4 linked regions of the Schizosaccharomyces pombe genome follow. The protein of the gene in region 3 purifies or fractionates together with the protein of the main gene of each other region. This does not show direct contact. Each region holds a gene or a part of one and is shown on either strand. Other genes may lie near its edges. The genes, in order: pir2, red5, mmi1 and ccr4.

Region 1 (7,769 bases), on a different chromosome or scaffold from region 3:
TTTCAGCAGAACTTCGTGGGAAAGTATCCTCTTCAATTGCTCTGGATTAGTCATTGTTTATCATAATTGAACACTTTAAGCTTCTTGGTATAAAAGAAATTGTATTCAAAGTTGTGTAAAATCAATGCAAATGGTTCTTACGCGATAGTTTTTCGGCAAAGACTTTTAATAGTTTGTAAGACTCGTATAATTTAAATACCTTTTTTTACTTATGAAGCGGAATTGTTGTTGTATACAATGTTTTCGTTATTATAACATCATCAATTTATTACTTGGCTTTATTAAATTCGCCAACTAATATGCTAATTCATAATGAGATCACAATTTGAACGAGCGATTTTTAGCACTTTAATTAGCGACAGGTTCTTTAACAAATATTTGTCGGATGTGAACTGTAGGTGGCATCAATTGGTATTAAGCAGAAAACAACCAAAACCATTGTTACAGCGAATATTGACTAGCGAAAATTAATTAGTTTTTTAATACATTTTATTGTGAGCGACAGAAGTATTTGGTGATTTAATTCATTTGGCGTTGTAATTTAGACAACAGGTGAATAAATAGATGTAGAGTTAATACTTCAATCCAACCCTTGGTTTAACTTTCTAATCACACTAATTTGAAAAGAACTTAGAAATAATATGGATTTTTTTCTCTGTATCATAAAGCTATGGTTTTAACATATGCAGCATGGTTTACAAAAGTATAATAAAATGTTGAAATCTAAATTCCTTAGTGGCAATAGATTAGTCTGAAAAAATAAAGAGAAAGTCTTTATTATAAATTGATATGGGTTAATGTGGTGTATTACAGAAGCGATTAATCTAACGTGCTACGCTCAGCATCTACATGAACTGAGCGCACTCATCTAAATATTTTTGTAATTGGTAATAAGCAGCAATACATGCCTGAGTTTATACGCAAGTTTTGTAACAATCATTGGTGCGATCAATTTTTGTTTTTTGGTTAGTTGCATCGTTACTTCTTCCGCTTTTTTGTTTTCATATTTTTGGTTTTTAAAACACATCGCAAATTCAATCAAGTTGCGAAATTTTTCATTCTTTGATATTAATTTTCTTACAACCTACTTAAAAAACTATTTCCTTTTGGTCGAGAGCCTTTATATTGGCTATAGTCTACTTTCTTCAAAAATGTCTGTTGAAGCAGGATGTTCAACGCTATCTAATCCTCTTAAGAAATTGACTTCCACAGCTGTTGTCAATAATTCAACACCTTCAGCTCAATATCGAAAACATTTAACCAAGTCTCAAAGTCGTACTTACGCTCCTTTGCAAACGCTGTCTGAGGATCAATTCACATCTTTCAAAAATCTCCAAGGAAACAATAGTCCTTTAGGTAATGTAGTTAAGAACCCAGTTAGCTTAAAAACTGGAAATCATACCGGCACAACTACTCGTGGAGGCTCGAAAGAAAATTGGGTACATTCTTTTTCTTCTCTTCAGCAGCAGAATAGTAAGTCGGCTTGGACATCAGAATTCTCTGAAGTATTTCTCAATTCATCTGAAAACGACCGTTTTCGAAACTTAAACCAACCTTTAAAACAATCTTTTTTTGGTTCCGCTGGACTAAATTTATCTTCAAATACTGAAATACCCTTACAAAGTTCTTTAGCTATTGACGAAACTGAGTTGGCTAAGAAATTTGAGGAAGCTTCTCAAATCTCCAATAAATTAGAGAAGGAAAAGGATGCTACTGGAAGTAAATCAATTGAGGAGCTATGGGAAGAGCATCAAAAGCAATTGAAAAACGCCGGGCTAGAGCCCGCAAGTTTAGAGGAATACCAGAAACAATGGGAAGATTTTTTAAAGTCAAACAATATTTCTGACGATCCTTACACTTCGTCTGTGAATAGCTTTGCTAATGATAATTTAGCTCATAATAAAAACATAGATCCTCAAATTTTCCAGCATAGCGATACTGATAACGTTGTTGAAAACTCTTTACAAACGGAAGATGTATATTCACAGAACCAAGATGAATCTTCAGAGGTTGTGAAAGAGCTAAACGGAATAGATCCATTTGTTGAAGCCATGAATTTAATAAAAAATGGAGGATCTATCTCGAAAGCAGCTGTGTTATTGGAACAATCTGTGAAAGAGAATCCACAGCACTTCGAGGCCTGGAAATGGTTAGGTCGCATTCATACTCTATTGGGAAACGAATCGCGGGTTGTTGAAGCCCTACTTGAAGCTGTCAAATTGGATTCAACCAATCTTGACTTAATGATGGATCTTGCTGTGTCTTATGTTAATCAGTCTCTAAATGTTCAGGCATTGGTTTGCTTAGAAGACTGGATAGTCAACAGTTTTCCCCAATACCGAAACAGGTTTGCAAAGATAAACGAAAGGTTTGAAGAGAAAGATTCTGCTAACGATCTCTTGAAAATGCAGATGTATTTCTTGGATGTAGCTTATGAGTTATCACTTGCTAAGAAGCGTTCCTCCAAGGTACAAGCTGGATTAGGAATAATTATGTATATGTTGAAGGAGTATGAGCGTTCTGCAGATTGTTTTCGGCAAGCTCTTCAAGACGAACCAAGTAACGAAATATTGTGGAATAAGCTTGGTGCTGCTTTAACAAATGCAGAAAAAAATACTGAAGCTGTTTCTTCCTATAATCGGGCAGTATCTCTACAGCCCCAGTATGTTCGAGTTCGCTCAAACATGGCTGTTTCCAACATCAATTTAGGATACTTTGAAGATGCTGCAAAACATCTACTTGCTGCAATTGATATTATACAAAACAGTTCTACCTCAATGGAGAGCTGCGAATCAAATGAGGAACTTTGGGAAATGCTTCGCAAAGTATTTTTGATTGGATTCCAAAGTACTGATCTTGCCTCTCAGTCCTATCCTGGAGCAAACACTAGTTATATACGAGCCCAGTTAAGTGATCTCCAAGGTTGGCCCGGTGTTGAGCTCGAATAAATCTCTTAAAGCAAACGTGCTTAATTCATTTTTCATGTTATTATTTATTTGGTTGTTTTTTTTTTTAAATTTTTTGTCTGAGGCATATCTTTTAGAGGACGTGCAAAAGCTACTTTTTTTTTGTTGCACAAGAAATGAGATAACTTACGCTTCAATATCTGAAGCAGAGAACAAAAGTAAAAGAAATCTTACTCTATGCTACCAAAGTTACTATTGGTATGCAAGTTGTACCTTTCTTGACCGTTTATACAATGGAAATTAGATCTTCAGTGATTTGAAAACAGATGTTATTGTTTACTTTTGTGAGAGTGCTTCTAAGCTCTTTGTAAGCACAGTTTTTTAAGTAATCCAACATTGTATTTATTGACGATAATGAGACAATGTTTAGTATTAATTGTTCAATAGCATTCGCATAAAATTCGAAGTCTCACTTTTTTGTTTAATCATTTGCTTTTATAATCTCAGTTTATTTAGATATACTGATGCGTATAATAAAGTATTTGACAATTTTCTATATTTTGAATAATGAAACTTAGTGTACCAGCATAAAGTGCTGTATGGATATTTCTCTCTCGTAAGAACATTCTTCAACTAAGCAGGTTGAGTACCAATTTTGACCCAATTGAAATCATTAGTTTTTTAATAAATTAATCCCGATTGCTGGTATTTATAGAAGGGGAACAGTGTCAAAATATGAGTGAGGTCCATCAAGAAAGTGAAGTAGAGTACAGTCGTTGGAAAAGAGAACGCTCTCCTGGTAAGTTGTTAATGTTTAGTTTGATAGAAATACTCATCCTTTTTTTGCATAGAACGGAGTCAAAGACGTTCACAGAGCCCCCCTGGTGAACAGTCTGCGTATCATCGAGAACGGTCTCCTCTACGAAAGCGTGGTAATTACTATGATGATAGAACAAGAGGTAAGAATAAATATAAAATTCTATGAATTGACCTATTAACTACAATACGTCTAGCTTCTGGACCTTACCCTACATTTACTAAACCGTAAGTTACGACTAAATAAATACTCTACTCGATGTGAGTGAAAAACCAAAGTTTTCTAACAAGGAGACTAGTTTAATTGATCCATATACTCAAACAAATGCGGTTTCTTATGAACGGTTTATTCGGTGGTATAGCAAGGAAAACCATATATCCGCAACAACTGAAGACTTATACAACTCGCTTCATGGAACTTACAACAATTATAAACAGGATCTATACGCTAGGACCGCAAGAAGTTTTGTTGAGAGCCATTGTGACGAAGCTTGGTTTGAAGACAGCTATTGGGTGGACGAGTCACAAGGAAGAGTCCTTGAAGTGTCTGAAAATGAGAAATCTTATCGCCGGGCGTTATACGATAAATTCATGGACAGATTAGACGCCGGTTATTATGATGATTTTCAGCTTCCAACCGCTGAGGATGTAATCGAAAAGCCGTCAATACCTGATAATGATACAGATGACTCAATTCTTCCTTCTAACGACCCGCAACTTTCCAAATGGAACCAAGACTCTCGAAACGATGCAATGGAAAATACACTATTGGTCAGTCATGTTTTGCCCAACATCTCGGTTGCGCAAATTCATAATGCACTCGATGGTATTTCGTTCGTACAACATTTTTCCCTTTCTACTATTAATTTAATCAAGAATGATGAACGCTCACTTTGGGTTCATTTCAAAGCAGGAACAAATATGGATGGAGCTAAAGAAGCGGTGGATGGGATTCAATTGGATTCAAATTTTACTATTGAATCTGAAAATCCAAAAATTCCTACTCACACGCATCCCATACCTATTTTTGAAATCGCTTCTTCTGAGCAGACATGTAAAAATTTGCTAGAAAAACTAATCCGTTTTATAGATCGGGCTAGTACGAAGTATAGTTTACCAAATGATGCTGCACAACGTATCGAAGATCGATTGAAAACACATGCATCTATGAAAGATGACGATGATAAGCCGACGAATTTTCATGACATTCGTTTAAGTGATCTGTACGCCGAGTATCTTCGCCAAGTGGCTACTTTTGATTTCTGGACTAGTAAAGAGTACGAAAGTTTAATTGCTTTACTGCAGGATAGTCCTGCAGGTTACTCGCGGAAAAAGTTTAATCCATCCAAAGAAGTCGGTCAAGAAGAAAATATTTGGTTGTCAGATTTGGAAAACAATTTTGCTTGCCTTCTTGAGCCTGAAAATGTGGATATTAAAGCAAAAGGGGCATTACCCGTTGAAGATTTTATTAATAACGAATTGGACTCTGTTATTATGAAAGAAGATGAACAAAAATATAGGTGTCATGTCGGAACATGCGCGAAGCTTTTCTTAGGACCTGAGTTTGTCAGAAAGCATATAAATAAAAAGCATAAGGATTGGTTGGATCACATTAAAAAGGTGGCTATATGTCTCTATGGATATGTGCTTGACCCATGTAGGGCTATGGATCCCAAAGTGGTAAGCACGTCGTATGTATCCTTACAGATTTTAAACAAGCCCTACGTTGGTTTCAGAAATATTAACGCAAACTATACATTTCCAACAACAAGCTATAGTCGACGAAATGACGAGGAGATAACTTCTGGAGCATCATCACAAAAATCTTATTCGAGGCAAGAACCCATGATCCACAGACGGGAATTCTATAGAACTTATCAAGATTTGGATGCGCCTAACCAGGAGGTTCCAGAATTAGATTACTAAATTTATGTTCTTAGTCAGAAAGATTTTTGGTTAATATCATTTCCTGTATAGACGTTACTAGCAGTTGTAGCTCCATACTATATTTTAGATTTTAAAGTAGCGATAATCTACATTCACAGCTATTGTAAAATTGAACGCTTAAGTCCATGTTCGAAAATCAAACATCGAACGCTGCACAGATAGAAATAAACCCACTTCCAACTTGACTTACAGCTTACAAGATAGCTATTGTTTGGAAAATTAATAAATTACAATTCAAATTAATAATTCGTAAGTCAACAAAAGCATTTTTTTTTCTAATTATTATATTTTAAGATTTGGTCTAAACTTACTTAACAATAGTTATTTATTAGAACAAAACTTGGTACGAGATAGAAAATAAGCACAGTTTAGTAGATGAATCGCTGGGTCGACAGACAATATTGGAAAACCAATTTGTTTATCTGATAATTTGATAACTATTCCCAATTAAAAAATTATAAAGGAAACGTTACGAAACTGAAAGGATGTAGAAGCTTCACAGTTGAGTCTTTAATAAATATGTGCTGGCTTTCCCTTCAATTCCAGTAACACCAATAGAAAATACTCGAGGATAGATAAGTATGGAAAATATTTATGTATCACAAAAAATTGAATAAATTGAAAACATTCCGTGAACCACTTCAGATAAACAAGATAAGATGGTAATAAAGTAGTAAAAGAGAAAGGATATGTTAAACAAAAAGTATTGAGGGATAAGAGATCATGGTTACGTGTAGTAACAATTATTTCGGAGGAGAAAAGGAAAGAGAAAACAGAGTGATAGCGCTATGCACACATACAATCGTGTTTAAAAAACCGATGTCTACTGACTGTTGTTCAAACCGGCGATGGAAAGATCCCGCATACTCTGTAAAACTTGTTCAACTTTATCATCCAACAAACCATTGGAATAGTCTTCGCGTACAGAGTTGTCAAAGTATTGCTGAACTTGAGCCATTTTCTCATATCCCTCCCTACAAAAGCGGAGCTGAATTTTGACAAGGGCTTCAAAGCTAGGGTCCAAATAAGGCACACGAAGAGCAATTAGTTGCGGAAGCTCACTGACCAGTTGATTATTGAGTGTCTCGTAGACCTCCTTCGCCATGGCTGCTTCTTTCTCGGTACGGGGAAGCTTAGTAGTGTCGTTGGAAGGCTTGTCGACCAGTTTTTGAACCTTAGCCCTCATAGCATCATGATCAAGTAATTTGTGATTACGCTTCGTGATAGCGGCATTAATATCGGGAAAGTAACTGCAGAACCTTGAGATGGGATCCAACACCGTTGTCCGGAAAGGACCGTCCAACTCTTTTACGGTATCGGCGTCCAAGTCTTCGACGACTTGTCGATAGTATGCACTGACACCATCCTTCGATCCAGCATCACCGTAAAATGCATCGATTGTGTTAGCGATTCTAGTTTGAGACGCAGTCATGGCTCTCAAAGCATCGAGATAACCTTTGGCTTCTTTTTGAAGCTTCTTTGCAGCTGATTCCATAGTTCTATAACGTCTTTCCTCTGTTTCAAATTCCCGATCCACCGTTCGCTCAACATGACCCGTCTTCATCATAACCTACCACAATGTTAGACAATTCTTCAACACTCAAATACATACCGAGGTACCCGCTCGGTTAACGGCCTTTTTGAATCCATGCCAACTCATTTTTGTGATATGGAAAAGAGAAGCGTCGGCATACCCAGATATCTTATGTCAGTTGATCGCTGCGCTAATGTTCGCTAGCTAAGCTGCATTGGATCTTTTAGTGGATTCAGCAGGATTCGCGTAGGGAACAATTCACGGAAGCAAAGCCATAACGTAAAGCCTGATTGCGAAGTTTATCATTGCGTTAAATAGAATAATGATAGTTTATTTCACAATGCAATTATAAAAAGATAAGGATGAAAAGCGTGTCGTTAATTTTGTGTTTAATTGATAGAGCAAGAGCATAATGGTGGTAAATTTGGGTTTCGAGGGTTGGCTTACTTTCATGTCACTATCAATAAATTACATCGCTTAAAAAATATATCTAAATTTTTCTTGTATAATCATCTGTAGTAAATCTCTGACTGCAATTAGAGGTCTATCCTCAGATAATTCTTGTT
Region 2 (7,731 bases), on a different chromosome or scaffold from region 3:
GACAAGACTATAAAATCATGTGCGATTTAAAAGACGAAAATAAAAAAAAAGTCGACAATACGAACGATTATTAAAAATCGTTTTACATCCTTAAAGTATTGTTTATCATCATTAGAAGCATAATCCGAAAGATACCATGGTCTACGATATATGTGCTCTTTGTAAATTTTGATGTTTATACTTTTTTTTGATGTGGGTCAGGTTTGTGACTGGGAATTTGGAGTAAGCTGCGCTCATGCTTCTTAGCGATAATTAGCATAGTTTAATGCTTTTTTAATGAATAATTTATATAGATGTTAGGTTTTAAAACGCAGATTTCTTATTCATATGGAATTCTACTAATTTCTTATGTAGCACACGGAGTATAATATATTTTGCTAATCAATAAGTTAACCGCCAACCTGAAATATTAGAATACTCATCTACTTTGAGCTGTTCCAGGTTACAATTGTACAAGTAGTATCAACCCATCCCTAGTATTTACATAAGTGTTTCCGTACAAACGGTGGGTTACTTACAATAAGATCATTAAAATAATTAATTCTCCTGATTATGGTTCTAAGGTTACTTGGATTTTTGAAAACTCTACTATCAAGTTATGTAAATTAAAAATAGTAAAGCCGGTACTTAATAAAAGTATACATTCTTGCCATTTTTTGGACAGCAATTCGGCTATGTATATTTGATCCTTGGTAGAATCCTTTCGTGTTTTTACTAAGATATACGAAAATATAAGTAGACGAGGATCTCTTACTACCTTTCTAATTGCTAATGTGCTAAGTCAGCCCCAGTTATCACAATCGTACAATGTCAACAATTCACCGGGACGTTACTTATGCAATAACCTAGTTGTAAGGATATTCTCACCGGTAAATCCCAACCCGAAATCAGCACTGAAAAAGAAATCTCTTTGAAACCTCAGTAAAAAAGCATCTCTTTTTACATTGAAAATAAGCTTACTTTGTTGTTTTATTATACTAAATCTGTCTTAGCATAGCGATATAAAACATAATGTTCGCATCGATTTTACTAATTAAGTTAGTGCAAAACCTGTCAATGTTATAAATTGCTCACAGTCGCTTTTCTCCAATTTAGTACTGTAATCCCTCAACTACACACTACTAGAAATTTAATATCCTAAGAAATAACAATGTCTCAAATACTAGCTATGCTCCCAGATAGTTTAGTTGCCAAATGGAATGTTGTGGTCAGTGTAGCGGCGCTTTTCAATACCGTTCAATCGTTTTTGACTCCAAAGTTGACTAAGCGTGTATATAGCAACACTAACGAAGGTAAGAATCATGGTTTTTACGAGTTTAATTGATTTATAATACACATAATAAGCTCTTTAATGATGCTTTTTTTTATTAGCTGATTATTTTTTGCTGACTTTATATCTGTAGTCAATGGATTACAAGGTCGTACTTTTGGCATCTGGACATTACTAAGTGCCATAGTGCGTTTTTATTGCGCATATCATATAACAAATCCAGAGTATGTTGAATCAAATCAAACATTCAATTTCCAAAATCATCTGATATTGTCTAACTTCTATTAGTGTGTATTTTCTATGCCAATGCACATATTATTTAGCCTGCTTTCATTTCCTATCTGAATGGCTTTTGTTCCGTACTACTAACTTGGGACCAGGATTGTTGAGTCCAATTGTGGTATCGACCGTTAGCATTTGGTTTATGGCGAAAGAAAAAGCCTCGATTTTGGGGATCGCTGCTTAACCTTTTTTTACTCCCCCATTTTACGTATACTATATTGCTTGGAGAGAAGAGAAGAAAAAGAATCAACATAAATCCATCATTTTTATGCCTTCGGGCTTTAATGCAATGGTTCTATTTCTAAACCATTCTTCAAATTTTTAGTTTAGATTCTAGAATGTTGATGATTTTAAAAAAATTAAGGAAAAGCATGGTGTCTTGTTTTTCGATTTCTTTGCCCAAAGACATAGTAGGGACTAAAAACCAATAGTAATATAACCACTTCAACTTCAATTTGCAACATTGTTAGTTCAAACTTAACCAGAACTTACAAAATCATAGCAAATATCGGAATTAAAAACAAATGTTAACAAAAAAAAGTATTTAACTTTAGTTTCAATTAGGCAATAGAACTGCAGTACGGTCATTCATAAACCGGAACATCTCAATTACAAGATAACCATAAATTAAATGTCATCAGCCATCCAGGACATCTTGTCACGATTTTCAGCCAATATAACTGTGTCACCGGGATTGAAGGCAGGCATTCCTATATACGGGCATCCACTACAACGAAAAGCGTCGCCAAGATAGCAATTTCCGCAACTTGAGACGGCATTTTTACTCTTGAGCTTCTCGGTGAAATCAACTTCGGTGGTGTCTGTAAGTTTTACAGCTTCTAACTGTGCGGATGTCTTGGAAGACTCGTGTTCTTCCATTTCACGTAATCCACAGGTACAGTTCTTGCAAGCACGCTTTTTCTTTCCAGGTTCAGGTTTGCACTCGGGCACTTTTAAAACATTATCGTGGGCACTTTCGTCTAACAACTCATCTTCATCGATGAGTTCTTGATCATCATCACCACTAATAAGGTTTTCCTTGTCAGATTTTAAGAAATCAAGAATTTTGTTTTTGCTCGCTGATTGACCATTTTTGTTTGATAATTTAATGGGAACTGCTTCCACCTGATTGGGACGAGATAAAATCCAAGGACTCTTTGATTCAATAAGCCATCCAGATAGCAAAGCTGTCATTTCAAATGACTCGTCTGCTTCATCGGCAGTAGAATAAACACGAAGTGTTCCTCCAGGATGTACTGATGCAAAGGCTTGTGAAAGTATAGGTCCTAGAGTTGAAGACCATGCACCATCATCAATGGCAGCAATAACTGAATCATATCGATTGATGGGTAAATTAACAAGTTGAGATTGGACGCGATCTATCATTTGCAACTCTCTAGAAGCACCATTATCGATAAGGTCAAAAACTTTTTTCAAAGACTCCTCTTTTGAAGCAAAGCCGGGAGACGTCAAAACAAGGACAGAAGATGACATATTGAGAGAAGATATTAACAGCTTAAACAAAAGCAAAAAAAGTAATTAAAATTATTATATTATTACACGTTTCAGCGAAATGAAACCCTTAGCAATTGGTAAGTAAACCCACCAACGAATACAAAAAACACTATCAATAATAAAAATAAAAACGAAATCTAGATCGTTGTAACGTATGTACAGACAATTAGAAAAAAGTCAAAAACTGTCTTCCTTTTACCGGTCTGAAAGTGGTAAAATTTTTCTTTTAATCAACGGATAAACAAAAAAGTTATCTGTAGATATAATATGAAAATTTCCACGCCTTAACGTTATGAAATGATCAATTATAGAGAAATAATACTCAAACAATAAAAAAAAGGAATGATTAGTATTTTGTTCTTGTTAAATTCTATTTACCACAAGTGGCGACGCTGTAAATTTAACCTGTTGATTGGTAATCCGTCAGCATGTCTTAAAATGAATAGAATCCAATCATGTGGCACTGTAAGGCATATAGCTAAAACAATATTGTGGTTTTCTTATATATCGTTATTTATGCTTATGAAGTACTGCGCATTTCGGTAAGTCATTGATTTCTACTTTGTTCATACTGATCGAACAAGTCAACGGAATCACCGGCTAATCGACTGAAATGTCGGGTCAAGTGAAAACTTGTGTTGTACTTTTGGCTGCACGCAACTATTTCCAGCTTTGAGAACCATTTTTTTGGTAATTTACATTTAATAGTCAAATATTTTTAGCCCTGTGTTTTTTCGAGAAATTTGATATTCGTATTTTGCCGTGGGTGTCATATACAAATTACATATCGACTGTATAAGATAATAATGATAACTTTATGTAAGACTAGAGGGTTTTTTACTTCAAAAAGAAGGATTTATTAAATGCAATACTATCAAATGATGAAGGCGTTACGAATGTTAAAAAAACCGAAGCCAGGTTGTTTGGGTATTGAAATTCAGAGTGTTCCTATTCCCCAACCAAAGAATGGAGAGTTGCTTGTAAAAATTGAAGCTGCTGCCATCAACCCCAGTGATCTAATGAACGCAACAGGGGGTTTCCCGTATACTGTTTATCCTCGAATCGTTGGGCGAGATTATGCTGGTACTGTAATTAGTGGCGCATCTCATTTAGTAGGAACTCGAGTGTTTGGAACGAGCGGTAGCGAACTATCATTCACTAAAGACGGTACTCATGCTGAATACTGCATAATACCGGAAAAAGCAGCTGTTCGTATGCCAAGCAATTTGTCGTTTACTGAGGCAGCATCAGTCGGTGTCCCTTTTACAACCGCTTATTTGGCTTTAAGCAGAGGAGAAACCAAAGGCAGCGATATAGTACTAGTGGTTGGAGCCTTAGGTGCTGTCGGGTCGGCTGTTTGTCAAATAGCAGAGGATTGGGGATGTAAGGTAATCACAGTGTCTAGGAGCGGCTCAACCGATATCAATACAGTGGTGGATCCGGAATTAAAAAGGGTCCACGAATTGGTTGAGAAAGTTGATGTGGTAATCGATACGGTGGGCGATCCTTTGTTGATGAAATCGGCTCTCAATCAATTGGGAATAGGGGGAAGGTTGTCTTATATTTCCGCACCTAAGCAAGGGAGTATAGAATTTTCGTATGACATGAAACAAATATATCGCAAAAATCTGAAGATTATTGGGTGCAATTCTCTCTTACTTTCGTTAGTGGAATCAAACTCACTATTAAAGAATATGGTCGCCAAGTTTGAAGCAGGGAAATATAAGGTATTAAACAAGAAAATTGCTGAAACATCTCTTACTGATGAATGTATAAATTCATATAGAAAACTTATGAATGAATGTTCTACAAAGTTTGTGATTACTATGAGCACAAATTAAGCGTCCGAAATACAGACTTACCAAATTGTTTTTTCTGTATAATCAGTAAATTTTAAAAGAACTATAAATATTTGCTTTGATCTTTCATATCGTTTATTATTATTATTATTATAAAGAGGTATCTATTCGTTAATGAAAAAAACAATTTTGAGCTACGCTTTAAAGAAGGATTATTTAAATTAAGTAAAAAGGATTTCATTATAATTAAAGCAATATTGTTTTAATACTGATAATTTAAGATAGTTTTTTTTAAAATATCGTTATAAAGCGTCGGTAATTACATTGATGCTACTCCGACATTGTTGGTGCCACCGACTACGCTACTCTAATCTGTCGACTTAGAAATACCTTACCACATCTAATTACTGTAAGAATTTATTTCAAGGACTTTTTCATAGTTTTTTTGTTTTTGTAACGACGTTTTCAAAAAGGTCATTGTCAAACATATAAGCTCTTGCCTGTCGTTAAAAAAAGTAAAGACCTTGGTTAATCGTTGTCGTTCAATTATTTGGGCATTTAACTTAAACAGTTTTGTTTAAGGAAAGGTTCTCAAAGACTTTTTTTTAAAAGATTCACTTATAGAACGAAAGACCATTAAAGTGGAAAACCACTCATTTTAAAACATTGAGCAAACAAGAGCTTTTGCATAATATATCAAGTGGTGGTTTAAAACAGGAAATACTTGGACGATTCAAGTTCAATAAAAGACATTAAAGCTGTTGGTTTATTTTACAAAAAAAAACATCCGTTCGTTATATTTATTTATTAGTTCTAGGCGGCATTCACAATGAACGAGCAACAATTGCTGGAAAATATTGCTTCATTAGCTGGTACGTTTTGATTAAATTGTATTAACGTCTTTTGATTGTCTGTTATACAGAATAAATTTGGTCGACTTTGAAGTTGGATTGGTTTAACTAATGAGCTTTTTGGTTTTTGAAACCAATGAATAATTAGGATTTTCAAGGAGACAGATTTTATGCAAAAAAATATCTTTATGTTTCTTTATTTATGAAACGCTCAGTAATAATATAACTAACCTTTAGGTGCTATCAATCAATATAAAAATGAAAAAGGTAAGATGCCCATTTATGAGGAACTTTGACTCATGATTTTAGCAGAACCTACCCAGGTTTTAGATGCCGCTAAAGCAAATAAGAATACTCGTTCGTATCCCTATTCTGTTTCTAGGAACTATTCTTTTATCCTCAATAAATCCAATCGCTCGAAATCGACAGCTGCTAGCCCTCCATATGTGATACCGTCAACATCATCGAATGCAGACGATGCCAATAAGGAACCTGAAAAACAATCCACATCTGACTATGTATCACGGAAAAACAGACATATGCAACTGATTAAAAAAAATATTCTTGAACATGATTTGCAAGCGAGAAAAGCTAATTTGGAGAGCTACAGAGCCAAGCTTGAGAAAGAATACAAAACTTTAGCCGAAAATAAAATCCAGCAAAGATTATCCGATGGTACTAAACAATTAGTAACTATTGACGGACTGCAGTATATTACCGGTGTATCTGATACCAAGTGGTTGGAATTTGTTAGTGCTAAGGGACAATGTCCAAAATATTTATATTGGAATAATAAGTCTTATCTTCTTAAAAAGAAGAGGTTTCTCAAGGAGGTTGGAAATTCACCTTCAGCTGTTTATTGCCGTTATTATAATGCTAATGGAATTTGTGGGAAGGGAGCAGCATGCAGATTCGTGCATGAGCCCACCCGCAAAACGATATGTCCGAAATTTTTGAATGGTCGATGTAATAAAGCAGAAGATTGTAATTTGTCACATGAATTAGATCCCAGACGAATTCCTGCATGCCGGTATTTTCTATTAGGAAAATGCAATAACCCAAATTGTCGATATGTGCACATTCATTACTCTGAAAATGCCCCTATATGTTTTGAATTTGCCAAGTACGGTTTCTGTGAGTTAGGGACGTCTTGCAAAAATCAACATATTCTTCAGTGTACCGATTATGCTATGTTTGGTTCGTGTAATAATCCACAATGCTCTCTCTATCATGGTGCTGTTTCCGCTGATGTACCAGAACAAACAGAAGCTCCAATATCGAAGACTGCTGGTTCTATAAATCCAGAAGACTCTGGATCGGAAATTGGAAGTAATTCCTTAGAAAGCAACTTGGATTTTATATCCGTTTAGATAATTCGTTTAGCAGTTTGATCTTGTAGAATTAAATTATCGTGTAGTTACGCAATGTCTAAACTTTTGATGATAATGAGTTATAATTTTCTATTAATTGAATACAATAAATTTTTAAAAAATATCATAAGATTTAGAAAGAAAATAGAAAAAGATTTCAACTAGTTGATAAAGAATATTATTTTTTAAAGACTAAAACTAAGAGGCTAGGTAATTACAGCAACAAGAGTAAAATACATTAGATCCACATTTTTTACGATTATCAAAGAAAAAAGAACAAGATTGATGGATCTATCAAACGGAAAATTAAGGTTGCAGTTGAATACCGTCCGAAGCGCTCTTTGAAGCTTCTATAAATCGTCGAGCACTTTGAATGTTCATAAGGGTTACTGCTGATTCGATTTCTGGATCAGCAATGACCACCAATATGTATGTGTCCTCAGTATATGGAACAATGAATGCAGAGAAATTACCACCACGAAGCTCAAAAGTAGTAAATTGAGCTTGCATTTTGCTACAACTGAGTTTAAATTGCTTAACAATATTGCTAATTTTTTCGAACCTGTGAGCATCAGTGGCAGGATTGGACTCAGAAGAATAAGAAGAAATAACCAAAAATGTTGTTCTTTCAAATAATATTACCT
Region 3 (8,477 bases):
TCGTGTAGATAGAGATTCTTCTGTCAAACTCGCCTGTGATGGATTCGAGGATGGTAATGGTGAAGGTGCTTGTGGTGTAACAGCCAGTTTAACCGGTGATGTCTTTAAAGGAGAGGCCACTCGTGGCAGCCTGGGACGTGAGGGTTGATTCGGATGCGCATTCACCGTAATGTCCTTGGAAAGTTCTAATATTTTTGGTAACTTTTTAGGATCCAATCCCACAATATACTTGGACAACACTGGCTGACTAAAAATTTGCACAAGTGTTGCCAATACATTTGTGGTAGCCATTCGGACTGGCTCAAACGTATCGTTGATCAATGTCACACATAGGCTACATAGCGTTTCAAGCGATGCTCGAGGCGGACAAACATCCGTCAATTGTAGGCAACGATTCAGCCATCGAAGTGTCTCAGTTTTTACTTGTGGATTTTTATGCTTCAAAAATTCTAACGTCTCATCCATTATATCATTCAACCCACAGCTCTCAAAAATAGCATTGGCCGCATCCAGCAAAGAGTGCACCAAACTCGATTTTCTCTCTTTAAACCTATCAAATAAAGAAGGCAATACAATACCAGTATACGGAAGAAAGCCCTTCCTTAGCGCCTTGGCAATATGCGTCAATAATAAAGCCGCTACACCCACTACCACCACGTTTGCATCTTTTAGAGACTTTGCAATCACTCGAAGTAACTCACTATAGTCACCCTCTTGATAAACAGGATTGGAACACACCGGTACCATGCTTTCCAACGCTTCCTTTCGATCTTTCCACTTGGGAGAAGATAATGCGGTATGGAATTCTGGGGTTAGTTTGGAAAGAACATCAACGGGCGTACTTCCGACAATGTTTTTGGCAGGAGATACAATGGAACGGGAAGGAGATGCTGAAAAATCAGAAGGTTGTGAGACCTTTCGGTTAGGAGTACTGAAACTAGAAGTAGAGCGTTGCAGAGTGTTTCCCTGCGAAGATGACTTTGAGGACAAATGTGGTTTGGGTTTGGCATTCGATGAAAAAGAAGGAAGAACCACCTCTTGGGTGTTGAGGGAATTTGAAATATGTCCTCCCGTGGTCGTGCGAGATGTAACATTTTGAAAAGAGGCCTCAAGATCGGAGACCTGTATTTGCTTTAGTTGAGGAAACACATGAGTCTTGAATGCATTACCAACCCAAGCGTACAAGGTTATGGATAGATTCGAAGCTTCTTGCCTGATATTCTTATCTGATTGGGCGAACAAAGTAGGAATCAGTTTATAGAATGGAATAGGAGAAAGTGCAGGGATTCCAAAATTCTCCAATAAACTATTTAATTCTTTTATAGAAGCAACTGCCTGCTTGGGATGCTTAACGCGAGCCGCCGAAAATAACCCTTCTAATACATAGTCCAGCGCATCGGATTTAGCTAAAATGAGTAAAGCCTGGTGAGAAGCATCACGGATAGATTGTCTAGGAGATGGTAAACATTTTTCGAGTAGAGGAGCAACAACGAACGATTTGGCAGAATTAACTCCTTTTTGCCTAGACTTGTCTAAAAAGCATCGCAGAGATTTTACGGCATGCTCTTGTGTTGGTACGTTACTATCACACAGCCCTTGTTTCCATAATGCTGGGTCATGAATCCAAGGCTGGAAACAAACGTCTGAATCATCCAATGCTCGGTTCAATGCATGCAACAAAGACTCATATGCTTCAAATCGAACTTTCCAAGACTAAATAAATCAGTTAGAAACCTAAAAACTTAAAATAACCCACTACAGAAGTGAGATCCATCAATACTAGGGAGAACAGGTATGAAAAGAGTAGTGACGGAAACACAAAGCAATGAGTAAAACTAATTGAAATCGTAAAATACAATGGAATTGATCAACAGTGCCCTTAATGCCGTTGCAACGATATTTCCATTTGTTTGCTTTTCATTCCAGTTACATTTTTCTGGACAGCAAGCTTCTATCTCCATTAATTTGTAAAAAGCTTACCTTATCAAAAATTTGACTGAGAATGCGGCTATTAAAATCGTCCAACTCCATTTACATAAACAAATATAAATTAACGACTCGTATGTTTACAACCAGCAGAGCATGAATAGTTATGTAAAAGAATGAATTTTATAGACAAATAGAAAAATGAAAACGAATGAAACGGACGGGATTCTAAACAGTAATGAGTATGGCTCTGAAATTGGAGTTGTACATGTGTAAATAGAGACGACTAACTTTACGGACGACAATGTTTCACTCACACAGCCAGCACCGTAGAGTTAGCACAATTCGTTAGACCATCGTATTGTTGAATATGAACGAGCGCAAGATTACACTATTAGAGCAAAATGTAAATAAAGCAGAGAAAAAGAGGAAACCATCAATAATTTTAAGTTTTTAGAGTAATTTAATTCTTTAAATAAATAACTTTATCTTAAACCGTACCAAAATGATGCTAACAGAAGATGAGCACCCAAATGGAATGTTCACCGATATATTAAGCCTTATGCAAGTTGCTTTTTGAAACCGATTAATGTGCTATTGGGTGGCTCTGTAAGATGCTTGTGATCTAGTATAAGTGAAAAAATGAATTTCTAAGACTCTTACTGAATAAAACATGACGTTTAACTCGTTTAAAGAAGGGAATCCTATAGATTGCAGATTTTTAAGTTTTCGTTTCTATTCATACCTAAGTCTAATTTTATCTTTCATTTGCCCAATCTGAATTCGAGTTCTTCAATTACAATAAGTTCAAGTTATACATTTTTAAAAGGATTCCAATATTCTGTCGAGCACCCAATTCATACATTCAATTCTAAACAATCCATATTTCGTTTTGTAAGCCAAGTAGTCAAAAGTAGCTAGTCGATGTAATACCATGCTTGATCAAATTTTCGGTCCGCAAAGAAGCCGTGTTACGCCTTGAGTTTCTTGGATTTTGAAGAAATTTGTCAGCGGTCATTGTATAAATTACGAATTGCTTCCTCTTCCGCTATCGTCACTCTTTGCAACTTATCATCTGCAGCCACCCTTACCCATATTCAACATATTCGACGAGAACGATATTTAAGTGTTTTCTAGAACTTAAGAACGCTTATTAAAAGAAAATTGTTGATTTATTCTTGAATCTGTTCCAAACTTGATCGATTGATTTCATAATCGCTACAGTTTCGAGTTAAAGACATTGGTAATAAGTTTGTTCTCTGGCCACTTCTTTGCAATAAAATCCTCCCCGCTCATTGTTTATAAAGTTCTTTTTTTTTAATTGATATTAGCTTCAAAAATTTCTTTACGATGTCCTACAGTTTTCAGGGATTGCTCAACCGCGTGAATGAGAGCGCAATTGTAAATACTCTCAAAGAGTACACCGGTCTCAATACACCCAAATGGACCTTTAACGATATTCCCGATCTTACGGGTAAAGTCGCTCTTGTCACAGGATCTTCAGGTGGCATTGGTTATGTAACTGCCCTCGAGTTGGCTAGAAAAGGCGCAAAGGTCTATCTGGCTGGTAGGAACGAGGAAAAGTATCAAAAAGTTATGAAACAGATCCACGATGAAGTTAGACATTCCAAGATCCGTTTTCTTCGTTTGGATTTGTTAGACTTCGAAAGCGTGTACCAAGCAGCTGAGTCTTTCATTGCCAAAGAAGAGAAATTACACATATTGGTCAATAATGCTGGTATCATGAACCCTCCCTTTGAATTGACTAAAGATGGTTATGAACTTCAGATTCAAACCAACTACCTTTCACATTACTTGTTCACTGAGCTCTTGCTCCCCACACTCCGTCGTACTGCAGAAGAATGTCGACCTGGCGATGTTAGAATAGTTCACGTCGCAAGCATTGCATATTTGCAGGCCCCTTATTCTGGTATCTACTTCCCTGACCTAAATCTCCCGCATGTACTTTTGGGTACTTTTGCTCGTTATGGACAATCTAAGTATGCCCAGATCCTTTATTCCATTGCTTTAGCCAAACGTTTAGAAAAATATGGAATATATTCCGTTAGTCTACACCCAGGTGTTATCCGTACCGAGCTGACTCGTTACTCACCTACCTTTGCTCTCAAATTGTTAGAGAAATCAGTCTTCCAGTATTTACTTTTGGATCCAATCAGAGGCGCCATGACTTCCTTATATGCTGCAACCAGTCCCGAGATTTCCAAAGAGCACTTGAACGGCGCTTACTTCACTGCAATTGCTCAGCGTGGTATTCTTCATCGCGCTCATGATGATGCCTTTGTTGAGGAGCTTTATCGCTATACTCATAAGATATTTGAAGATCTCAAGTATTTAGCTCCTTCTCCATAATTCTTTTGCTCGTAATCTGAACAATGATGAACGCTTCTTGAACCACTTAAACTAGTAAAGTGTTTCTACCTCCTCATATATTTTTAGTTGTCTTATGTTGGAATCCCTTTATGATTACTTTATATTAGTAATAATATTATACAATTTCGTATTGCTTAAGAACCACAAACAGCATTTCGACTTTGTCGCTACATCGCTTCTTCCCTGGTAACAGTAGGTTTGATCTCTTACTTTTCTGTCTGTCAAAGCATTGGTATTGTGTATTAGCCATTTTATCCACACTTTAGTCGACTGTATTTTAATTTACAAATCAAATATTTACTTTATAATGTTGATGGTAAATATGGAAACGACTAGTCGACATTTGACCATTCACTATTTACACTCAGAGCAATTTTTTGTTTTTTTAATCTTAAAAAAGAATCTTTCTTTTGAGTATCTCTCTGTGCCACGGGGCATTTTTTGAATCTGCCGAACAAATTTGTAAGAAATGTGAATTTACAAGGAATACTTATTAAAAAGTAAAACTCTTTTAAAATAGAAATTTTTTTATTTACTCAGTAATTGATGGTTTTCATATTCATTTGTTTTATCAAAGTACTTCGTATTCGTTATTACCCGTAATCAAATTACTCTCTCACGATTATCTGCACCTTGCCTTCTTCCAGAAATCCAACACTAAGGAGGCTACTAGTAAACCCTATAATAAAGTGTTTTATTAAACATTCAAACATTATTTTGAAAGTTGACGGGAAATAGCTAACTTTTGAAGAAAGTGAAAAGCTATAATTGGTGATTTTTGGGCTAAACATATTTTTTTTTCTTTTTTTTGGGGCTTGGTCTTCACTTGACTTACCGCTATTCTTTCAAGAGTATATCTATCTTGCTAGTTCTTGCTTTTTTATTTCTCTACTCGGCAAGACTTTTAAAGTAAACGATAGTGGTTGATATAAATTCAGTTAGTGTATTGACCAGCAATTTTGTTTTTTGGGGGGTTTTTTTGGTTCTCTCTTTATTTTTTTTTGTAAAAAAAATATAAAGCAAGGGATTTTGGTGAATATTTATTAACTTAATTTAATATTTATCACAATCTTCTGGCTTCAACTCATTTTCCGTTACTCAATTTACAAATTTTTAGCATTTTAAAGAGGATTTCAAAAAAAAAAGATTATACTTTTTATCACACATAAAAGAAATTTGAATGTCAAACACAAACTTCTCTACTTCTAGGTCATCAAAGTCCATTCCGGAACTTCCAAATTTGGAAGCTCTGCGAAGCCTGTGGCGTAAGTAGATTATTGTTTAAAATATCAGAGAGGAATGTAAAATAGTGTCATTGAAAATTGACTGACTTTTCGCCTAAAACCTCCTACTGTTTAATTTTGTCGAGAATTTTACTAACCACCTTATATAGCTCCACCGTCATTGAACGAATCGGGCGATACTAGAAGCGTATGGACTACTCATACCGGAGAGCCTGTTGCGTCAAGTGTTCTATCTACTTCAGGTTCAAACAACTTTTCTTCACCTCTGAAAAGACCTGCACCAGAGTCACATGACGCTCCTATCGGTAGAAGATTGATGGTAGATGATCCCCGCTTAATTAAACATGGTAAATATGATTTTAGCAGGCATTGCACTGACTATGGTCACTCCTACGAATGGCCTTATTTTCGATCCCTTCGTCGTGAGTCTATGCTTTATCACACTTCGGGATCTTATCCAGAAAGTCAGCCTCCTTACTCTTCTTATTCAACTGATGCTCCACATTATTATCATGCAGGTTCGGAATCCTCTGCTTACTATGATAGCCGTTCTCGTTTGCATGGCATACAACCTCCTCCCAAGCGACGCACACTTAGTCCTCCCCCTAGACGGCTTGCGGACCCAGTGGTTGTTGGAAGTTCTCGTTATGTTGAAGAAGAAGTATACAGAAGGCCTCCTTACACTTTAGCTTCTGAAGTTCCTTCATCCGCTTCAGCATACCAAGCTGGTTACTCTTCCTATCCTGTTCGATCTTCCCCCCAACTTTCTCATGAAGACACTCGTCATGGTATTGCAAGCAGTGGTTCAACAAGGTATCCTTTTGTACCTGCTAATACTCGTGCATCTCACTCCCCTAGTTTGCTTGAACCTTATGCTCACTCCCTTCCCTCTTCGGTCGCGCCAGTTGGAGCTTATCCTGAGAAATCTTCTTACCTGCTTTCTAATTCCAGCAATGATAGTGCCTCAAGAAAAGAAAAACCCAAAGCTCGTGCATCTACGCCTCCTCCATTAAATTTTTCCAGAGCAAGCGAACATAGAAATGAGAAGGGGGAACGCATTTCGATGATTAATCCCCGAGTTGTTCTTGACGAAAATGGAATTTCACACCGTAAGGCTTAGCCCATTAAACCAAAACAAATAATTCTAACAACTTAGGCTCCCGTTATTTTATTATGCTATGTGACAACGAGACTGCCATTGCTCATGCTAAAAAAACTTCTATTTGGGCAGTCAAGAAAGATTCTTCCAAAAGAATTTCTGATGCATATAAGGTTTGTCTTTTATTTCCCTTAAACGATATAGTTTTATACTAACACTTTAACAGAAAGCCAGTGTTTATTTTATTTTTGTGGCTCAGCAAACGTACAATGCTTTAGGATATGCTCAGGTAGTCAGCGACCTAAATAGCACCGAACTGCCCTTTTGGTCAGATAGCTCGCATGCTGGAGGTGTTCGCATCAAGTGGATTAAAACGTAAGTGTTGTACTTTTGAAGATTTCTTCTGCTTACCTAACTAGTTGCAATCTGTTTTCTGCTGAAATTTCTGAAATTGTTAGCCACATGGATCATGGGTCTGAAGCTAGAGATGGCATGGAAATGATGTATGATGAAGGCAGCAGACTTTGTACGTTGATTAACTATGCTATAATGAAGCGAATTGGAAGAGACCGTTGATATCTCCCTTTTGCTGGATTTTCAAGAATGTTGGATGCTTCCTTTAACAAAATTCATGAAACTATATACTATTGGAGCGGATTGATGTTAAATGCAGTGGATTTGCTTAATAAAGCATTCCGTATAGGTCGCTCATCAACATTAAAGATTTAACATTATTAAAAAGTTTTTCTGAACAATAAAAAAAATGCACACTATAATGGTGTTAATTTTCAATCTTGGAGCAAATCAGTTAAGTAAAATTATCATTATTGACTTGTTTTTGCTCCTCTAAACGAAATCTTAACACAGTATGCAATGTTTGGTTCTTGAACTTAACCCAAATACTCTAAAAAATTAGAAATTCTGATTCTCTTCAAACAGGCTGTTTTCAAATTTGAATGATTTTGCTTTGAATGATGTTTTTTCTTAATAAAAAAGCTAGATGAATCTGAATTAGACAAATAGGTAAATTGGTTGTTCAACCATTGTGCATGGAATTTATCGATTTTAATCACTTCTTCTGAGATCCTTAAGTATCATTTAGTTTATCTGTATTTCTATATTGGCGTGACACTTACATAAAGTTCGGGCTTTGGGTTAAGTGAATGTCATTAGTATTATCGTTATCAACATTTGTTGATCGTTGGAACATGGTCAAGCTATCAACAGTGGATAGAGCATAAAAAAACTAACATTAAATGATTAAAGAAAATTACAATAATATAAAGCAAAATAAAAACAGAAGCAGATTTAATAAGGAAGTAAAAGTTGTGGGCAATCCAGTAGTCAATCGTATATCTATTTCATTACTTATTGCATGCAATCCATCAAACATTACATATACCACATCTTTGTTTTCAATTTACTTGATAGAGCTAAAAGCGGCTTTACTTCTTGATCCATTGATGCTTCTGATGTCTCAACAAAAGTATCATCGGCTGTCACGTCTTGATAACGGGCTAAGTTACTAACCAAATGCGCATAATAAACAGGTGGAACCAAGGAAACAGCACTTGTTGCTCTTGCATAAACATAACAAAGATTATAACACAGTGTTTGGAATTGGTCCGGTGGCATCTGAATTTCGTCGTGCAAAACCGTGTAGTGAACTGGGACCGAAACGCCTTGCAGAGATGGGTGGGATATAAGGTAAAAATCGTACTGATAGGGGTGAGTAACATGCTTTTCAATAATTGTACCAGGGAGGGGATTTCCATTTCTATCTCCGTCGGATTTGTTCTTAATGAAGAAACGAGCGT
Region 4 (8,099 bases), 300 kb from region 3:
ACTGCGCTTTTATGAAGGCCTTACCAAACGTGTCAGCGCCAATGGACATGCTGTAGACATTCTTGCCGGATGTCTGGATCAAATCGGAATTATGGAAATGAAAAGCCTGGCTTCTAGCACTGGGGGTTACCTTGTTCTATCTGATTCTTTCACTACTTCTATCTTTAAGCAAAGTTTTCAAAGAATATTTGGTCGTGATTCTTTGAATAATATGCTTCTTGGATTTAATGCAACTATGGAGGTCCTTACAACTAAGGAGTTGAAAATTTCCGGTCTTATCGGCCACGCAGTATCCCTAAACAAGAAATCACAAAATGTTGGCGATATCGAAATTGGCCTTGGTAACACTAATAGTTGGAAAATGTGTGGTATATCACCAAAGTCCACTTATGCCATTTACTTTGAAGTAGCTACTCAAAGTGCCTCTGCCCCTCAGGGGGACTCTCGAGGTTTGGTACAATATCTAACCTTGTATCAACATTCATCAAACACATTCCGACTTCGTGTAACAACAGTGGCTCGCGCTTTTGCTGATGGAGGTAGTCCATTGATCGTAAATTCATTTGATCAAGAAGCTGCTGCTGTTGCTATGGCTCGTATTGCAGCTTTCAAAGCGGAAGTCGATGATGGACCTGACGTCCTTCGATGGACCGACCGAATGCTGATCAAACTTTGTCAAAAGTTTGCTGAGTATAGAAAAGATGATCCGTCAAGTTTCCGTCTCTCTTCACAATTTACCCTTTACCCTCAATTTATGTATTACTTACGACGTAGCCCCTTTCTGCAAGTTTTTAACAATTCACCAGATGAGACTGCATTTTATCGTCACATGCTCAACCATGAAGATGTTAACAATTCTCTTATTATGATTCAACCTACCTTGCAATCATTTTCTTTCGAACACCCTGGTGGCGTTCCAGTGCTGCTGGACGCTGTATCTGTAAAACCGGATGTTATTCTCTTGCTCGATACTTTCTTCCATATTCTAATTTTCCATGGGGACACTATAGCCCAATGGAGAAATGCTGGCTATCAAAATCAGCCTGAATACCAAAACCTAAAAGAACTTTTAGAAGCTCCTAGAGTCGAAGCAGCGGAGTTGCTTATTGATCGATTCCCGATCCCTCGATTTATCGTTTGTGACCAGGGAGGCAGTCAGGCACGGTTTCTTCTTTCTCGCCTTAATCCTTCTGAAACGCACAACACTACGTCTATGTATGGTGCTCCACCTGCTCATGCTATTTTAACTGATGATGTCTCCTTACAAACCTTCATGAGTCATCTGAAAAAACTTGCCGTAGCTGTTTCATAAATGCACTTTATGAAATCTATAAACTACCAGCCCTTACTTGTAGTCATCGTTTTTAAGAAGTTTAGTCTTTTGGTGATTCTCATAAATAAAAAGCTTTTTATGTTTGATAAACTTCTTGGTCTCTCCAGCTGACTATTATAAACATTAATGAATGATTAAAATTTCAGCACTTTTGGCTTGAGTCTAGGATAGCATAGTCTTGCTTATCAATATTATTTCGTTTACTGATGTTATATTTCTCTAGTATTACGCTCGTTGTAATTTGTTGGTTTTTTAAAATAGATAAATATTTTATGAATTTTTTGTGAAGTTATGTTGAGCAAAATAAGGATATCTTCAACACAATCGATTTTTAGAGATGGTTGAATGTTGATGAAATGGCGAAGCTCATTTTTATTATGAAAATAAAAAAATCAACGTTTTAATGCAAACCATCAGTACGATGTGTGGCGGTTCACCCCTTGTTAATGCTAATTTCCAATAAAAGTAAAACGAATAACTACGTAAACAAAAACGAAACCTCAATGATTTACAATTTATCTATTCAAATTATTACGACAAGGAAAATTACACTGCTTTGATATCTATGTAAACTTAACCAAATACCTGGTACTTGCGAAATGCAGAATCATACATCAAATCCATCTACTTGCTACTAAGTATCACTCTAAAATCTACAAACACGACAAAAACTAACAATCATTTTTTATCATTGTTAAACTTTGATGAAGGTAAGGGTGTCTTCTCCTGTTTCACTTTAAACTCGGCCAGCAAGCAAATATGATCACTAGGGAAGTGTGCGTTAGGGAAACCAACAACGCCGGAAAGATAATCTTTATCCACTCCTTTCAACAAACCGGTTACCTCCAAGCTATTGCCGGTGTACCAAATGTGATCAATGGCACCCTTAAAGCCAGGTGTATAGTTAGTGAAGGAGAGAGCTTCAGATTCACCATATGCAGATTTCAAATTAAATGCATGAGAACGTCCATTAACAGTGTATTCTCCGTAATCATTATTCATAAAATCTTCATGATTTTGGCTAATGCTACCAGATGATAAAAAGTCATAAACACCACTGCCTTGGACGGAATTAAAATCTCCACAAATTAAGATGGGGATCTTTAAATACTCGGGATAGGTAGGTCTTTCATCCTTTAACTGGTCAGAAGGAATCTTGGAAGGCATATTACGGAATTTTGTTGCAACCTGTGCAATCTCATCCATGAGCATTGCAACTTGTATAACCTTGACATCCCTAAACTGAGGATCCCAATGAATATGACAATTTGCAACGATCAATCGCGATCCATTTTCCTTATTCTCAAGAAGAGTAATCACACTAATGTTATCTTTAGTCATAACACGGTTGTACATGTTAGACGTTAGTTTAATGTCTTGCCTACGAAGAGATGGTGCTTGATTATATTCTATCACCATCTTTTCGTGCATGACATATTTAGATGTTTTGAAAAATGTAGCACAACCATCGACGATGCGACGTTCAACCTCATTCATAGTTCGTACGCGACTTTTCGGGAAGTGGACACCTTTATAACCTTTCAAACTCATTTGTGGAGCAAAAAAAGTATCATAGTTCTCAACATCAACTTCTTGCAAACAAATGATATCAGCATTATAACCACCTAATTCTTGCATGATTAAATCTTTGCGATACGACCAAGAGAGTGCCCATGAAGGAGTATAGCCATACAATGTGGATGTAGCATAACGTTCACAAAGCACATTATAACTCATAATAGTAAACTTGAGATTCTTAGATGTTGTAGAGGGCTTGTTAGAATCAGCAGCCGTTAAATCTCTAACAGAGGTTGAAACATTGTCATTAACATCATCATCATCATCGGAAACAAGTTTTTCCCATCCACGCTCAGGAGGAGGAGGGCCAACAGGGCAACCATCGCGCAAAGCAGCAATTAAACCTGCAGTACCACTTTCCATGATTTGATTCTTGTAAACGTCTTGAAGAGGATTACCTTCAATACCAAGAATTTTCAATTGGAAAAGGGTACCGAGTTCGGCAGGTATTACACTAATCATATTATCAAACAATAGGACTTCTCTAAGCTCAGTAAGTAAACCAAGCTCTGGTGGAATAGTTTTAATGCTGTTTCCAGAGGCATCCAAAATAACCAAATTCTTCAGTTTGCCAATTTCAGGTGGTAATCGGGTAAGATTATTATGGTTTATGTATAATTCAGTCAAAAAAGAGAATTTAAATAAATCAGTGCTCACATTTCTCAAACCAATACCACCAAGGTCCAAACAAGTCCAATCCCGTCTCTCTTTCTTAGAGTCAGATTTCGACTTTTGGTCATCAACCGCAACAGAAGAAGTGGTTGTTTTTGACGTACTGTTTAAGGTAGTACCACTGGAAGTGTTTAATGTTGTTGAGGTCGTCAATGTTGTAGTAGTGGAGCTAGTATTGTACTTTCCCCCTAACGAGGATAAGCCAGCAGCATTAGGGCCTCCGGTAAAAGCTCCAGTCCGAGCATTGTAATTCATCGAAAACCCAGGTCCTCCACTTCGTGCTAAAGCCGCAGCATTATGAGCTCGTTGGTGTGGTGAACTGAAGGACCTGGACTGAGTTGCAAGTGCAATTTGCTGTTTCCAATGTTCAGAAATATTACTATTTTCTAAAGCTGGCGAATTCTGTACAGATAATATTGCTGCATGTTGATGGTCTGGCGTCAACAGCCCCGGGTGCGCTCCTGGATAAATTGTACCTTGCGTATACCTAGGATTAAACATAGACGGTATCTCGCAAAATATCAAAGTCGAGATGAATTCTAATTTACAACATTCACTATATATACAATAAAAGTGAGGTTGTTGGTGAACGGCAAGAGTCGAACCCCGTGATAGCTTATAGGTGGGATACGAAAGCTCACCACCAAGATTTGAGACGAAAACTCAGTGTCCTGTTAATCGTTTTTTAGGTATATAATTGCATATGAATGCTTTCAATTAATTCATATTATTAATTTTTTTTCTAAATAATATAATTTAGGGTCCAAACATGAAATTATTTTAGCTTATGTTTAGCGCTGTTATGGTCTATGTAAATATTGGAGCTACTGAAAAATTTAATATATAATGTATCATCAGAAGTCCTTTATGAAGTTTATAATATTAAAAGCTTTTCCGGAACATCAAATATGAATTATTCAGCCTAATTTCGATTCCGATACATGGATGTCTCAAAGTTGTTAAAAGGCAGTTAGTTGTTGACTCATTATCGTAAAGTAAGATAATGTTTAATATTTAAATTAAATTTTTTATAATCTTTTTTTATATAATGCCAAATTTCTTAAAGTATGGACGGGAAGAAACATATTGAAGATCAAAAAAGGTTTATTTATCTAACTAACGCTTATTGCTAAGCAAAGGTTACGACGCGTAAAGGAGACATTAAATATAGGGGTTTGCTTCGTATAAAGAGCTACCATTTGATCCGGACTGTTTGAGAAGGTTAGTAAATATATCGATTCCATTACATTTTCTCATACCTTGTAGACCAATTGACTTCATTAAATGTGGATGTTTTAGCAGAGAAAGGTGTAACAACACTTCCCGTTAGAGAAGAAGAAACAGGATTGTTGTAATTAGTTTTGAAAACGTCCCAAGCTCTCACAGTACAATCTGACCCTCCGCTAACGAGGACCGTGGATTCGCGAGAAAATGACAAAGAGTATATGTTGCCTCTGTGACCTCGCATTGTCTTTATACGCCTTCCTGTTCCTATGTCCCAAAGGTGAATTAGACCTTCACTGTCTTTAATCAAATTAGTAAAATCATTAGTAATAACAAATGTATAACATACCAGCACTTGCCATAGTATGACCATCTGGGGCAATCGCAACAGCAGTTACCGGTTGGGTATGTCCATTAAAAACACGAACAGAATGTCCTCTATGTACATCCCAAAGCCTGCATGTTTTATCGCTTGATCCAGTTAGCACATAAGCGGAGTTTGGATGAAAGGTAACGCACTAAATACAAGTCAGTCATAAGGAAACACATTTCTTAAAAAAGATAATAATCATACGTCTACATCACTTAAATGCCCAGCAAAAACTCTAAGTGGGTATATATGATCACAGCTCCAAAGTTGTGCAGTCTGGTCATGAGAAGCAGTAGCGAAGTAATGACCAAACGGACCAAAGGCAACATCCCAAACCGGGCCAGTATGTCCCTTGTAAGCTACCAAAGCAGTTTTTGTGTCAACAGACCACAGCCGGGCGCTAGCATCTTCGGAACAAGATAGTAAATATTTATTATCGGGAGAAAATGTGGTGCCGTAAACAGGACCAGAATGACTCAGTAAACGTACTGAGCCATCTGAATCCTCTACAGAAGTTGACTTAGGTAATGATTTTTTGTCAGCCTTTATTGACCATAGCCGTATATAACTTTCTTGAAAACCACAGGCGATCATTGTGGAGTCAGGAGAAAATTCAGCACAGTTCATGTTGTTATTGGTGTGATGGAATGTGTACATACAAACACTAGGAAGGGAGGCTCTAGGTCCAAGATGTAATCTTTTACTCCAATCTTTCACAGCCTCAACTTCTGAAAGAATATCAACACCTTTATGAGGAGGAAGAGGGATATAATCTCTAGACGGAGCATCTTCAGCATTAGGTTCATGCAGCTTTCTAAATTCTTTTAATAGTTTTGGAGATTGGTTATTTGGATCGTTTTGGTGCATCATATCCTCTTCTTCTAAGTCCATCTCTACAATTTTTTCCATTTCTTTGTCCATTGGCATTTGTTGCAGCTTTACAGGTTGAAGTTGAGCATCTCCTCGTTCAAAGGATTGGCCGGTAATACCTTCTTGTTCATTGATAACTTTAGCATTTTCCAAGACGGTGGGACGTCCGGGAACGATATGGATATCTATATGCTGATTGATTAATTTAATGATAATTGACCCACCGTTTGAAACGTTTTCAAATAAGAAATGAAGCAATAAATCAAATGTTATCCTAGAAAAATGGAGTTGATATTTATTTTGCCGGTATTGTTGAGCAGTGCGGTCTTCTGCGACATGGCTTGGAAGACTCAGCGATTTTAAGTTTTTTACATCAAAGTCATGAAGATCAGTATGATCGTCTTTGAAGAGTTCGTAAAATTGCTTTGCTATAGCACGTTAGTAAAATTATCATTTATCCTTATAAAGAATTAAATATGGGTGGTCAAGTGGAATGAGTTTCAGAAATAAAGACAAGTTGTAAACTCAATAGATAAAGAAACTAATAAGTATTTAGAATAGTTCAAATACCCCTCTTGTTCGTAGATCATCGAAACAAACATGTAACAAATTCGTAACCTCCTCCAATATGACCAACTTACCAGCTTCATAATGATCTTGAGACAAGAGATTAAGATATGAGTGAACAAATATAGGAAATAATATCCTGTGAAGTTCAGCTTTGTACAATTCTAACGAACTATCCACCCAGTCTCGTAAGATCGTATACGTGTGTGTGTATGCATCTGGAGTTTCCTCAATGCTTTTTAACTTCTCCTCTACTGACACGCCAGAACCCGATGCTTCCAAACGAAGCATCGCCTCGGTCCTTGAGTATCCCTTCTTCGCAAGGTAATCCAGAACAATTCTGTTCAGATCCTGCGGTTGCGGCCCATTAGTGGCAGACATGGTTAAATTCTCCAATACTCTAGCTTGAAGAAATTAATTAGAATCCAAATATAAATCTACAAATGACCGTGATTCATATAATTACCTGCGCAGAGCTCAAAGCAACTTGCTAGGAAGTAGCATATGTCGAGTTCGTGTCTATTAACATACCATTGTGTACCACGCTAAATTGGGAATTTGCAGGATTTATGAATAACTGAAATTTGGAAAGGTTCCACAGTGTCTGTGAGCGTTTTGATGTCGAAATCCTATCTAAATTACTATTTCTTTTGTCCTACTCAAAAATGAACTGTCTATGAAATTGTTTTAATGTCAACACAGGATTGCGAGGCAATGAACGCTAGAAAAAAAAAATAAATAAATAAAAGTTTTGCATAGTAAAACTTTTTCAATTAGATACTTTTTAAAATTCTTTTTTGATTTTCAATTCGGTTTTAAAAACTTTCACTTACTTTTTTTTTAGAAGTTTCATCCCAATTTCGGGATGTTTATAATTTTTTAATTAAATTATAGTAGGGCCCCTTATTAAAATAAAACTAAATGTTGGGTTGAAATTTAAATAGGGAAAATGTAGAAGTTTTTTTTAAAAAATTCAAAAAATTGGGAAATTTCATATTTCCTTCAAAATCATTAGTTTATAACAAAAATTGATGTAGCATTGATAAAATGAGTTTATCAGAAATTATATGTTTTTTTTCCTGTTACAGATTTGTATGGTTTTGAGTCTTAATCGGTTTATTTATTTATTGATATATTTATTTACATTATTGAAATTTACAAATAGTAGGTTGCGATGAAGTAATGGACTGTAGATAATAACTGTAAACTATCAATTATTTACATTCATTTTTAATTATATTTAATTTTCTTCTTTACAGTTTTCTTTCTTTTGGACCAGTTTTAGGGATTTGGTGGTAAGTACTGTGTTTTCATTTGCCTTAACATCCAAAGCATCCTTGCTACCAACTAGCCTATCTTCATCCAGCGAGACGACTTGACAGTTTTTTCGTTTTAGACGAAATAAAAACCAACAGCTCCAAATTTCGACTATTGCAATGTTCTAATTAATGCTGATAATATTCTATTGGTTGGGAAGATCGATTA

Evidence for each region.
Region 1: the proteins of mmi1 (region 3) and pir2 purify together in Schizosaccharomyces pombe (affinity purification with mass spectrometry; 3 studies listed by BioGRID, with this or other methods). This does not show direct contact.
Region 2: the proteins of mmi1 (region 3) and red5 purify together in Schizosaccharomyces pombe (affinity purification with mass spectrometry; 3 studies listed by BioGRID, with this or other methods). This does not show direct contact.
Region 4: the proteins of mmi1 (region 3) and ccr4 purify together in Schizosaccharomyces pombe (affinity purification with western blotting; 2 studies listed by BioGRID, with this or other methods). This does not show direct contact.

What each region holds. Positions count from the first base shown.
Region 1 is NC_003423.3:1,215,868-1,223,636, forward strand, and holds pir2 (C2H2-type zinc finger domain-containing protein), read left to right. Parts: upstream 1-3,537; 5' UTR 3,538-3,641; coding exon 3,642-3,705; intron 3,706-3,757; coding exon 3,758-3,865; intron 3,866-3,919; coding exon 3,920-3,950; intron 3,951-4,021; coding exon 4,022-5,648; 3' UTR 5,649-5,723; downstream 5,724-7,769. Other genes in the region: serine/threonine protein kinase Ppk31, read right to left, coding at 1-54; peroxisomal targeting signal receptor Pex5, read left to right, coding at 1,152-2,948; BAR adaptor protein Hob3, read right to left, coding at 6,493-7,239, 7,282-7,329.
Region 2 is NC_003423.3:1,046,385-1,054,115, forward strand, and holds red5 (zinc finger CCCH domain-containing protein), read left to right. Parts: upstream 1-5,218; 5' UTR 5,219-5,695; coding exon 5,696-5,738; exon of another isoform or gene 5,739-5,812; intron 5,813-5,948; exon of another isoform or gene 5,949-5,954; coding exon 5,955-5,984; exon of another isoform or gene 5,985-6,029; coding exon 6,030-7,087; 3' UTR 7,088-7,231; downstream 7,232-7,731. Other genes in the region: Erg28 protein, read left to right, coding at 1,151-1,292, 1,404-1,494, 1,559-1,736; dre2 (anamorsin family protein), read right to left, coding at 2,180-3,046; SPOM_SPBC337.11 (peptidase), read left to right, coding at 3,931-4,908; Gtr1/RagA G protein Gtr1, read right to left, coding at 7,394-7,731.
Region 3 is NC_003421.2:336,588-345,064, reverse strand, and holds mmi1 (YTH family RNA-binding protein Mmi1), read left to right. Parts: upstream 1-4,952; 5' UTR 4,953-5,497; coding exon 5,498-5,582; exon of another isoform or gene 5,583-5,710; coding exon 5,711-6,670; exon of another isoform or gene 6,671-6,717; coding exon 6,718-6,833; intron 6,834-6,886; coding exon 6,887-7,035; exon of another isoform or gene 7,036-7,079; coding exon 7,080-7,236; 3' UTR 7,237-7,977; downstream 7,978-8,477. Other genes in the region: TOG/XMAP215 microtubule plus end tracking polymerase Dis1, read right to left, coding at 1-1,713, 1,981-2,031; SPOM_SPCC736.13 (dehydrogenase), read left to right, coding at 3,277-4,296; ago1 (argonaute), read right to left, coding at 8,053-8,477. UniProt on the Schizosaccharomyces pombe protein: RNA-binding protein that recognizes and binds N6-methyladenosine (m6A)-containing RNAs, a modification present at internal sites of mRNAs and some non-coding RNAs.
Region 4 is NC_003421.2:635,450-643,548, forward strand, and holds ccr4 (CCR4-Not complex subunit Ccr4), read right to left. Parts: upstream 4,175-8,099; 5' UTR 4,085-4,174; coding exon 2,012-4,084; 3' UTR 1,986-2,011; downstream 1-1,985. Other genes in the region: sec231 (COPII cargo receptor subunit Sec23a), read left to right, coding at 1-1,312; taf5 (transcription initiation factor TFIID subunit 5), read right to left, coding at 4,696-4,792, 4,843-5,107, 5,157-5,325, 5,382-6,475, 6,689-6,995. UniProt on the Schizosaccharomyces pombe protein: Acts as a catalytic component of the CCR4-NOT core complex, which in the nucleus seems to be a general transcription factor, and in the cytoplasm the major mRNA deadenylase involved in mRNA turnover.